Ovis aries: one gene and its partners. The protein of the gene in region 2 purifies or fractionates together with the protein of the main gene of each other region. This does not show direct contact. Links are inferred from orthologs where the notes say so. Each region holds a gene or a part of one and is shown on either strand. Other genes may lie near its edges.

What was found.
Region 1: the proteins of LLGL2 (region 2) and KBTBD7 purify together in Homo sapiens (co-immunoprecipitation; 4 studies listed by BioGRID and IntAct, counting the BioPlex papers as one, with this or other methods). This does not show direct contact. The link is inferred for Ovis aries from reciprocal best matches to the Homo sapiens genes LLGL2 and KBTBD7.
Region 3: the proteins of LLGL2 (region 2) and PARD6G purify together in Homo sapiens (affinity purification with mass spectrometry; 4 studies listed by BioGRID and IntAct, counting the BioPlex papers as one, with this or other methods). This does not show direct contact. The link is inferred for Ovis aries from reciprocal best matches to the Homo sapiens genes LLGL2 and PARD6G.

What each region holds. Positions count from the first base shown.
Region 1 is NC_056063.1:11,790,238-11,793,982, reverse strand, and holds the start of KBTBD7 (kelch repeat and BTB domain-containing protein 7), read left to right. Parts: upstream 1-1,475; 5' UTR 1,476-1,755; coding exon 1,756-3,745. UniProt on the Homo sapiens protein: As part of the CUL3(KBTBD6/7) E3 ubiquitin ligase complex functions as a substrate adapter for the RAC1 guanine exchange factor (GEF) TIAM1, mediating its 'Lys-48' ubiquitination and proteasomal degradation.
Region 2 is NC_056064.1:55,338,088-55,341,732, forward strand, and holds part of LLGL2 (LLGL scribble cell polarity complex component 2), read right to left. Parts: intron 2,630-3,645; coding exon 2,548-2,629; intron 2,350-2,547; coding exon 2,234-2,349; intron 1,940-2,233; coding exon 1,781-1,939; intron 154-1,780; coding exon 1-153. UniProt on the Homo sapiens protein: Part of a complex with GPSM2/LGN, PRKCI/aPKC and PARD6B/Par-6, which may ensure the correct organization and orientation of bipolar spindles for normal cell division.
Region 3 is NC_056076.1:518,215-521,959, forward strand, and holds the start of PARD6G (partitioning defective 6 homolog gamma), read left to right. Parts: upstream 1-988; 5' UTR 989-1,185; coding exon 1,186-1,257; intron 1,258-3,745. UniProt on the Homo sapiens protein: Adapter protein involved in asymmetrical cell division and cell polarization processes. May play a role in the formation of epithelial tight junctions. The PARD6-PARD3 complex links GTP-bound Rho small GTPases to atypical protein kinase C proteins.

The DNA of each region.
Region 1 (3,745 bases), on a different chromosome or scaffold from region 2:
CCGGCAAGCTCAGATAGATCAGCAAATTCAAACACGCTTAGATGACTTACAAGCCGCCCTTATGTATGCGGGGGATGATCTGCATGCTTTACAGGTACAATTGAATTGCGGTGTCACTGGAATTTCACTACTTTCTGTTTGCCCAATATGCCCTACAATGCCACTGAATATCCTTGGGAACAAATAAAGTTACATCTTTTAGGTTCAAAATCAAACAGTCTAGATATAGAAAAATTGAAGCAACAAATCACATCTACCTTCAGCAGCATTCCCCCTGTGTTATAGAACACTGACTTCTATAATGCACTATCCACTAGTACCTCCTTTCTAAATCCAAAAAATTGGGTACCCCATACGATGGCTACTTATGCGCTGATCTGTTTATTGTTTGTTATTGTTCTTGTAGGATTCCGAACGTTATGTGCCCGAGTCACCTCCGTCCAAAAAACAGGAGTAACTGTGGCTGCAGCAGTCCTTGCTCTTAAGGAAAAAGGGAGGAGATAAGGAGGAGCTGGAAGGCTTTGAGCAGACATGGAAAATGTATTTGCTCCACTTATGACGAAGGTTGGGAGCTGGAACGAGCATAACGGAGGGTTATGAGCGTGCATCGAGTGCCTGAGGCTGGAAACGGATGACGAAGGGTCAGTACGCCCGGCCTTGAAGCGTTCAAAGGCTTCCTTATGACCACCTGTTTCCTGGGAGCAAGGACTGTTGTTTCACGATAAGACTCCCTTTAGAGTTTTGCCAAAGTCACGTTATGTCTTAGGTGGTGGGAACTGTATTTTATGCTTGAATGCTTTAATGTTTATCTGGAATGGCTACGTGCAAGTCTGCCTTATGCTCTATTCCCTGAGAATTATAAAACTGCGCAGCTGGATAATCAACTTTGTCAGTCCACTAGAGGCTGTCCCTGAATGTTCCTTTCAGAGCGCGGTTCTCCGAGCCTTACAAGAAGCAACAGTAAACACAGTTTTCTTTGTAGAAATTGCTCATGGTTTCGAATAAGTGGATGCCTCATTTTTCATAAATTCTAAATGAAAAGCCAACAGTTACTCAATATTTGCATTTTAGTCACAGTGTAAACAATTATTAATCTAATCAACAAGTATTTATTGAAGCATCCTATGTCCTATGAAATTTAGATCATTCCATTCTCCCAGAATCCTATGAAATACTATTATGCCCAATTTCCAGACAGGGAAAAGTTCTGACAAAAAATTTACACAACTGGTGAATATTAAAACGGGACTTCCACTCTAGACTTCAAACCCACAGCTCTAAACCATCAAATCTGGAATAAACGCTTGCTGATTCTGTTAGTTAAAGCAGTAGACCCCCAGAAGCCTCGCGATATTACTGGAACTACTGATCCCAACATGCACAGCGGCTCCTGTGAGGCGGCCTAAGCCGCAGAGTCCGCGGGGTCCCGGCATGCCTCGAGGCGCGAAAGGCAACCTGGGAGCTGTAGTTCTCCTAGGCACCTACCGGTATTGCCAGCGCGGCGGTGGCGGACCGCTTGGTTCCAGTTTGTAGGTCCTGTGAGGGCGAGCTGAGGCGGAGAAAGGGCGTGGAACTGGAACCGGGTGAGTCAGGCACTGTCTACGCGATAAAGGGAGGCGGCACCGCGGAGCGGGGCTGACTTAAGTCAGCGCGGCAGTCTTTTCAGGGACACAGCGGTCTCGGCGTCAGCGAAAAGAGAGCGAGGAGGCGCCAGAGCCCGGTTCTCGTCCTTCTCTCCCCGCCGCCCTCTTCACCATGCAGTCCCGGGAAGAAGCTCCGCGCTCTCGCCGCCTCGCCAGTCCCCGCGGCGGGAGGCGTCCCAAGAGGATTTCCAAGCCCTCAGTTTCGGCTTTTTTCACGGGCCCGGAGGAGCTGAAGGACACGGGCCATTCTGCAGCCCTGCTGGCCCAGCTCAAGTCTTTCTACGACGCGCGGCTGCTCTGTGATGTGACCATCGAGGTGGTCACCCCCGGCAGCGGGCCTGGCACGGGCCGCCTTTTTTCCTGCAACCGTAACGTGCTGGCGGCCGCGTGTCCCTACTTCAAGAGCATGTTCACCGGCGGCATGTACGAGAGCCATCAGACGAACGTGACCATGCACGACGTGGACGCCGAGTCCTTCGAGGTGCTGGTCGATTACTGCTACACCGGTCGCGTGTCATTAAGTGAGGCCAACGTGCAGCGCCTTTACGCGGCCTCCGACATGCTGCAGCTGGAGTACGTGCGGGAAGCCTGTGCCTCCTTCCTAGCCCGCCGCCTTGACCTGGCCAACTGCACGGCCATCCTCAAGTTCGCCGACGCCTTCGACCATCACAAGCTGCGATCACAGGCCCAGTCCTTTATAGCCCACAACTTCAAGCAGCTCAGCCGAATGGGTTCGATTCGGGAAGAGTCGCTGGCAGATCTGACCCTGGCCCAGCTGCTAGCTGTCCTGCGCCTGGACAGTCTAGACATCGAGAGTGAGCGGACCGTGTGTCACGTGGCGGTGCAGTGGTTGGAGGCGGCTCCCAAGGAGCGGGGTCCCAGCGCTGCAGAAGTCTTCAAGTGTGTCCGCTGGACCCACTTCACTGACGAAGATCGGGGCTACGTGGAAGAGCTGCTGACCAAGCCCATTGTAAAGAAGTACTGTCTGGACCTTGTTGAAGGGGCCCTGCAGATGCGATATGGTGACATGTTGTGCAAGTCCCTGGTGCCCAAGCCAGAGAGCAGCAGCAGTAGCTCTGTTGTGTCCATAGCAGAAAATCCACCCCAGAGGCTGGGTATGTGTGCCAAGGAGATGGTCATCTTCTTTGGCCATCCCAGAGATCCCTTTCTGTGCTATGATCCATACTCGGGGGACATTTACACAATGCCATCACCTTTGACCAGTTTGGCTCACACTAAGACTGTCACCTCTTCAGCTGTCTGTGTCTCTCCAGACCATGACATCTATCTAGCTGCCCAGCCCAGGAAGGATCTCTGGGTGTATAAACCAGCCCAGAATAGTTGGCAGCAACTTGCCGACCGCCTGCTCTGCCGGGAGGGCATGGACGTGGCATACCTCAATGGCTACATCTACATCCTGGGTGGGCGTGACCCCATTACTGGAGTGAAGTTAAAGGAAGTGGAGTGCTACAGTGTTCAGAGGAACCAGTGGGCCTTAGTGGCTCCTGTACCACATTCCTTCTATTCCTTTGAACTCATAGTGGTTCAGAACTATCTTTATGCTGTGAATAGTAAGCGCATGCTCTGCTATGATCCTAGCCATAATATGTGGCTGAACTGTGCTTCTCTTAAACGGAGTGACTTTCAGGAAGCCTGTGTCTTCAATGATGAGATCTACTGCATCTGTGACATCCCAGTCATGAAGGTGTATAACCCAGCCCGGGGAGAATGGAGGCGTATTAGCAATATTCCCCTGGACTCGGAGACCCACAACTACCAGATTGTCAATCATGGCCAAAAGTTGCTCCTCATCACTTCTACAACCCCTCAGTGGAAAAAAAACCGGGTAACTGTGTATGAATATGATACAAGGGAAGACCAGTGGATTAATATAGGGACCATGTTAGGTCTTCTGCAGTTTGACTCTGGCTTTATTTGTCTCTGTGCTCGGGTTTATCCTTCCTGCCTTGAACCTGGTCAGAGTTTCATCACTGAGGAAGATGATGCACGGAGTGAGTCTAGTACTGAATGGGACTTAGATGGGTTCAGTGAACTGGACTCTGAGTCAGGAAGTTCAAGTTCTTTTTCTGATGATGAAGTCT
Region 2 (3,645 bases):
AGGAAATGACAGAGCACGCGGCTGCCCTGCAGGTCCCAGATGACGACGAGACCCCGGCTGTAGCCAATAAGGATCTGGTTGGGGTCCCAGGGATGCTCCTGCAGAGCCTCCACCATCTCAAACACCCGCCGGTGGCGTGCCTCCTCTGGCAACCTGGGCAAAGGGACACTGTGAGCCAGGTCACCAGCCACCAACGCAGCACGGCTGAGAGTGTTGGCCACCCATTAACTACACACATAGCACCTGCAAAGCAGTGGGCGCTGAACGTGTCAAGCATGGAAAGACTGCTAAGATGCGTCGTCAAGGGGAGAGAGAAGGAATGCATAGAGACGGAGAAAACCCCCCAAGGATGCAGACACAGGGGGTACAACCACCAGGAAAGGCCAGGATGTGGTTTCTAGGAAAGTCCATGTGATGGTTACCTCTGGGGGAGGGAGGGAGTTGTGACTGAGAGGGGCAGGAGGGGGATCCTGGGTTGGTAGGGGCGGGGCTGGCAAAGTTCTGTCTTTGCCCAGAGTTGGCTGCATGGACACTCGCTTAACAAGAATCTGTTAAAATGTACATTCAAATTTAGTGCATTTCTGTAAGGCAGTGGCATTCCATAAAAATAGTTTTTAAGCCCCACAAAACAAAACTCTGTTATCAGTTCTTGTGGCCTTGAGCCCCTCCTCCTCTTCTGGGCCTGGAATGCTGATGTGAAGTCTGGAGGTGTTGCAGCCAACAGAAGCCTATGAGGCAGCAGGCACGGGACCAAGAGCCAACACCAAGGATGAAATGGAAACAGCCTGAATCCTGAGGGCGCTTCTATGCTCAAACCCAAACCTAACATGGTACATTTAAAACAAGGATTTAAACTCATAGGAGGGATTCCCAGGGCACTCAGGCTAGGAAAGCCCAGCAAGGGCTCCTCCCTGACCGACTAAATGCCCATCGGTGTGGGTGAGGTGGGTGCTGGCTCGGCCACAATGAGGAGTAGGTCCTTCCGCTGTCCTGCCTGCAGGCCAGGCGGCCCTGTTGAGCACCAGCCATGCCCGGCCCCCTGCAAACAGTCCTGCTCCAACCACGGTCACACTGCCCAGTGTGACTCTACCCTGCCCAGCGCTCAGAGGGACCCAGCCCCAAGCATGGGCCGGAGCCCTGAGGAAGCTCGAGCCTGAAGGGGCTGCATATCCCGGCCCTGCGGTCTCCACCGGCTCCTGCTGGACTCTTCCGCTGCCTCCCTTTGGGGACCTGGCACGCCCTCCCCATTCCCAGACCTGATCTGAACTCCTCTCTACTTCAGACACCACCGTCCAGGAGCAAAGATTCTGAAACGATCCCAAGAACCCTACACGTTGTGGCCGTCGGGTGTCTGGGGCCGTGGAGCCTGCCTGTGAGCGAACAAGTAGCCAAGACTCCAAAATGTGAGCATCAGCAGAATTCGACCAGGGAGGTCTGGGCCTTGTCTGCCCTGTGGCAGAGCCCCCGGGCTTTGAAAGGGGTGGTACCGGTGCCAGGGACACCGGGCTGAGAGCGGCATTGTTGCACGGTCTTTATGAGCCTCCTTTTCCTCCTCTTTAAATGGGATGACAAGTACTCCCAAGACCCCTTTTGGTGCTGGGGTGCTAATATTTTGGAGGGCGAGATTCTCAGTTTGGGGGACAGGTTGGGGGGTGCTCAGAGTCTGCCCTCCTGTCCCCACAGACTTTCTAGGAGAGAAATGATAAGCTCCTGAGGCATCACTGGGGTGGAAGGGAGTGGGCCGCGTCCACCTTGCGGGCATGAGGGGCCCGGGGCTCACCGCTGCAGCACGGCGTCTGAGCTGATGGCCTGGTCCTCCAGCACGTGAAAGGCCGGCAGTTGCACTGCGAACACGTTGCCACTCTCGGTGCCCAGGTAGAGCAGCTGGCGGGAGGAGTGTGGCAGGACCACAGTGATCTGCGTGGCGCTGGGGGCAGCCCTGCAGATGGGAAGGACGGCCTGTGAGCCGGCTACTGCCCAGGCAAAGGGGGACCCACGGCGGGGGTGGGTGGGGGGGCGGAATCCCGCAATTCCCTCAGTGGCGCCAGGGACACCCAGGCCTGGGGTGCCCTTTAATGGCGTCCACAGCGATTCAGACCGCATAAACATATTTACTGTTTTCTGCCAAGGCTGCAGACCGATGGCAGAGAGCTGGGGCTCAGGATGGGGTGGGGGGGGGCAGCCCGCAGCCCAGCCTGCTTCCTGGCTGGGGGCGACAAGACTGAGTTCTCACCCTGGGGGGCCACGTAGCGTGAACGTCTCATCTTCCTGCAGCTCCGACACCCCACCTTTGACTTTCAGGCTCCACAGGTGCAGGCTGTTGTCATCCAGCAGGGTGACCAGCTGGCACTGGGGAGGGAACGGGGCGGGAGTGGCCGGTCTCATTAACCAGGGCGGGGCAGTGTTCCCGTGGCCTCAACACACCGGGGCTGCCCAGGGTGTCATTGCAGAGATGCGGGTCATGAACTGCGGCTGGGAAAAGGCAAGTTTGTCCCGGGTCCTCTCATTAGCACCAAACCCACTAAGAAGGGCGTGGGGTGGGCTCACCTGGCCAGGCAGGAAGTGGATCTGCACCACAGCATTGTTCTCGCGGTGCAGGCCCATGAACTCCACCCCTGGGGCACCATAGCTAGGAGGGGAGGGCTCAGGAAACAGCTCCAGAAGGCAGGACCCTCCTCCCACTCCCGGAGTGCAAGTACTCAGCAGAGAGGGGCTCCCTCCCCCAGGCAGCGGGACCCCTCTGTGTGGGGGGGGGTCAGGTGGGGAGGAGGCAGAAGTAGGCCGGCGGGGCTGTCTTCTTAGAAGGGTGAAGCCTCATCTTGGCAACTGTCAGCCTGCCCACTGCAGCCCCGTTCTCCCTGAACCCCAAAACCTGAGCTGTAGGAGACCATCAGCCACCACATGGTGGCACTGGTGAGGAGACACACAGCGGGCACCTGTGGGCCCACCCACGGCAACCGGGAGCGCGAGTCTTAGCACTGAGAGCTGTAACCAGGATATGGCCGTGGGCTGGCAATGATTAACCAGCTGAGGGAGGGCTGAGCCCTGTGGGACCTGGCCTCTGCACCCCTGTGCGTACACCACCCCCTGCCTAGCTCCCCACCCCCATCCGGCAGCAGAGGAGCAGGAGGGAGTTACTGCTTTGCCGAAAGTGCCAGCTGGGCTCTCCCCGTGTGACCCCTACCCCCACCTCCCAGTCCCCCTGGGTCTCACCCTGGGGGCTCAGGTCAGATCCAAGGGTGGGACTCACAGACTTGTAGCCCAGCCCAGGCCAGATGACCTGAGCAGTGATCCCCCATCCTGGCTTCTGAATAGACCCACTGGACCATGTTGACCCTCAGGCCAGGGAAAGACTGTAAGGACAACCAACCTGTGTGCGTGCGTGTGTGTGTCTATGTAGACTGTCTCTGCCAACCTGTGTGTGTATCTGTATGTGTATGAGGGAGTGCACATGACCAGGGGTAGAAACTAGAAGAGCAGCTGCCTTAGGACAGCTCCTTTGACTCAAGGCCACCCTGTCTCTAGTTTGGACAGAGCCCTGGGGCCAGTCGACTAATTCTTCCGGGGTGGGGGTGGGGAAAGAGAAACAAACCGCAGCACCACTGCTCAGCCCATCCCCTCCCTGCACTCGCTGCATTCAGGGCT
Region 3 (3,745 bases), on a different chromosome or scaffold from region 2:
AGGATTTCGGTTTCCGCAGCCCCGCTTCCAAGAGCGCTCTAGACAGGAAGCACCCACGACATTGCTCACACCTGACGATGTCTTTCTTCCGTTTCTCGCTTCTGCCAGCCCTGGCAGAAGTCTTCCTTCTCATCAGACAGGCCTATGGGTGCTTCTGACCCTTCCGAACCCTTTACCTTTGGCCTGTGCTAGACTACGCCTTAGGATGTTGCCTCCGTGCAGAACCTCTGCCCAAACCATCTACCACCTGGCAGCTCTAACGGACAGATGGACCCAAGGGGGTCAGGCTTCCGTGAGTCCAGTATCACCCAAGACAACGTTGAAAATCAGCCAAAACAGACCCCTTTCCTGGACGACGGGAGGAGGCTAACAAAATCTTGGCGGAAGCGAGCAAGGGAGAAAAAGTGTGGACGTCCCGGGCGAGTCAACCGGGCTTCTCTCCCCTGCTCTTGATTTTGCGGACGGGAGTGAACACCCACCCGGCAGCGGCGTCCTCGGGGGCGGGCCCGTGGGCGGGGCTCGGGGCGGGGACTGGCCGGGGGCGGGCCGACGAGCCCTGGGTGGGGCGTCGGGTGAGTCCTCGGGACGGGGGGCGTGTCCTCCAGACTCGGAGGGTGGGGCCTCAGGGCGCGAGGCTGGGCCTTGAGGCTCGTGGGGCGAGTCCCCGGGATGTGAGCCGGGTTTTCTCAGCGCCGGGCCAGTCCTTAGGGAACCGGATTAGCGGCGGGTCTACAGGGCGCCGAGCGGGACGTGGGCCCTTGGGGCTCGTGGGGCGGGTCCTCGGGGCTCCGGGCGGGTCCTCGGGGGACGGGTGCTCTGGGCCCGGGGCGGGGACTGGCGGCGGGTATTCTGGGCGCTGGGCAGGGATTGGTGGCGGATCCTCCGGGCTCGGGGCGGGACGTGGGTTCTAGGGTATCGGGGGGCGGGTCCTTGGGGCGGCGCGCGCCGCCGTACCCCGCTCCTCCCGCGCGCGGCCCCTTGAGTGCCCAAGGCGCGCGGCCAGCCCTGCTCGGGCCGCTGCACTCGAGCTGCCCCGCGGCCGAGCGAGCGCGGGCAGGGGCCGGGGCCGGGGCCGGGGCCGGGGCCGGGGCCGGGGCCACGGCGGCGGGTGGCGCACCCAGGGTCCTTCTGCAGTCCCCATAGCGAAGAGCGAGGGCGAAGCCAAGGCTAAGCGGGGCCGGAACCATGAACCGGAGTTTCCACAAGTCTCAGACCCTGCGCTTCTACGACTGCAGCGCGGTGGAAGTCAAGAGCAAGGTGAGCCGGGGGCCGGCAGTCTGCGCACCCCCCCCAACGCCCCACGAATGAATGGGCACCCCGAAGGGGACTGGGCGGCGCGAGAGGGGCCGGCGCCGACCACAACTTCGGAGCGCGGCGCGCGTCCGTGAGATGCGCCGGGGTCCCTCAGTCCTTCCCGCCCCTGCGCGCGCACAAAGCCCGGCAGCCCGGTAAGGTTCGGCTCGAGCCCCGGCGCTCGGAGGGCCGCGCGGCCGCCCGACCCTTTGCGAGAGTGGCTCTTTTGTTCCACAAGCCGGCGGCGATCCGGCGCACCGCGCGGTGGAGGGGCGATGTTTCCGGGGCGACCCGGGGGCTGATCGGATTCGGGGCCCTGGAGGGGCCTTGGGGGCCCGGGCCGGGGAAGGGCCCTGGCTGCGCCGCCTCCTTCGCAGCGGAGGAACCTTGGAACCGGCGAGGGGGAGACACGCAGCGGGTCCTCGATCCCCGGACCGGACCCCCAGTCCCCAGCACGGCCCTGCATACCAGCCCCTCAGCCTCCCGACGCGCCCCAGGCCCAGATTCCCCGGGCGCGCCGGACCAGCGGCCCCTCCCGCTGCCCGCGCCCGGGCCCAAGCGTGCCCGAACTTGCGGGTGGCTGTGCGCTTTGGATAATTGGCTGATAGGATCTGGCGCTTCTGCCCGTTGCGGGGGCGGCACCTTCGCGGCAGAAGCTTTTGTCTGCGAGGGTCTCAGGGGTGGACCTTGCCGCAGATGAAGAGCAGCAGTTGTTCGGGGTCCTGGAGGAGGGGGCCTCGGGCGTACCGCTGCCTGGGATCGGCTTTCGCCCCTTCTCTGCGCTCCCCCCGCTCGGCGCGGTCAGGCAAGGAGGAGAACCCCAGTGGTGGTAGACGGGCCAGACCCGAGGGTGGGCTCTGACCTCCAAGTCTGTGCACACTTGGTCGCCGGCGTGTGTGTCCTGGTTCGCTCTCTGGGAAGACTAACCCGATGGCCCCTGTCTGGGCTGCCCGTACCAATCAAGGTGGGGTCCTTTGACATAGGATTTGCAAGGCTTCCTCCGAGGATGGGGGTTCTCTGCAGGAGTCCCACAGAATGAGTTGTGGGATTTCGTCACATCTTGTTGGGCAGTCTATTTATGAACCCTCATATCTAATTACCTCCAATGCTAATTCTGTGACCCTGGCCCAGCACTCATCTCTTTTTAGCCCCAGAACTCCCCACACCCCCAAATCAAAAGTGACCTCTGTGAGTTGTGTGGGGGGGAGGAACCAACAAGCCTGAGTGGGAGCACCAAATAACTGACGTTTCTTCAACTCAGTGGGAATGTGGCTTCTTAGAACTCATTGTCCCCTGACAATAGCCACTGAGCACCCATGGTGTTTCACTTTAACTATTTATTTTGAGATCATCATAGATTAACAGGCAGTTGTGAGAAAGAACACAGAGGCTTCCCCACAGGTACCGTCTTGTATCACAGTGTCACATCCAGGGCCTTGCGGTGTTTTCAGGTCAGTTTGTCATGCGTGCGTTCCTGAGGCAGTCTCCACGAGGACCACTTCCATCGCGAGGGGACCTCCTGGCAGCCTTTCACCCCTGCAAGGTGGCTGTTTGGTTCTAAGTGATGAACACCCCAGGCTGTTCACGAATCTCGCTGGCCGAATGCCCTGGGCTCTGCAGCCATGGTGGCAGGCAGCTGCCTGACCAGATGCAACTCCGGAGGGCTAGCCCTGGAGGAAATGCCCTCACCAGCCTTTATCCTGCAGTCGTGCGCTCTGGACACGGTGGACCCCTGAGGCCTGAAGAGTAAGAGTCTGCCTTTGCCTCTCCCAGGGAACTGGGGGCCATAGGTGTTCTGGTGGCCCAGTGGGTTACCTCAGGCTGCCCCTCCTCCTTGACCCCCAGTGAAGAAGGAGGGCTGCCCCATGGCCCGAGCCTGGGTTCAAGTTCAGATGCAGTGACTGCTCCACCAGGGGTGAGTGGCAGAGGGGCAAAGTTTTGGTTGAATTTGGGAACAGTCCTGGAGGGCCACACCAGGCTGGGCCCTGCTGGGCTGGCTGGTTATACACACAACACCACCGCCCCAGGCCCTTTTCGATAAGGTGGTTTGTCTTACTGTCTGTCCAGTGGGGCCACCTGGCTCCCCCTTCTGTACCACTCTGTCACCCACCCACGGAGTCCATCTCTGCAGGGAGCCTTATTCCAGCTGCTCTTGTCAAAATATGGGAGGCAAACCATTATGACAGTGATGTTTTTATCCAATCTAAATGGTTCACCATAACACCTGGGTTTGCATGTGAAGAAAAATCGTGCCAAAATCCAGCCAGTTCTACCACCCAACCTTGTGAGCTTTCAGACAAGTCATTTAACTTTTCTGAGCCTTAGTTATTTCATATGTACAATGGTCATTGAACCTATTCTGGTAGCCCGACAGGATCAAATGAGGCAATGAACGGTAAAGCACCTGTAAACTGCAGGGCACCCACAGTTGTAAGAGCTAAGCCTTGCAGAT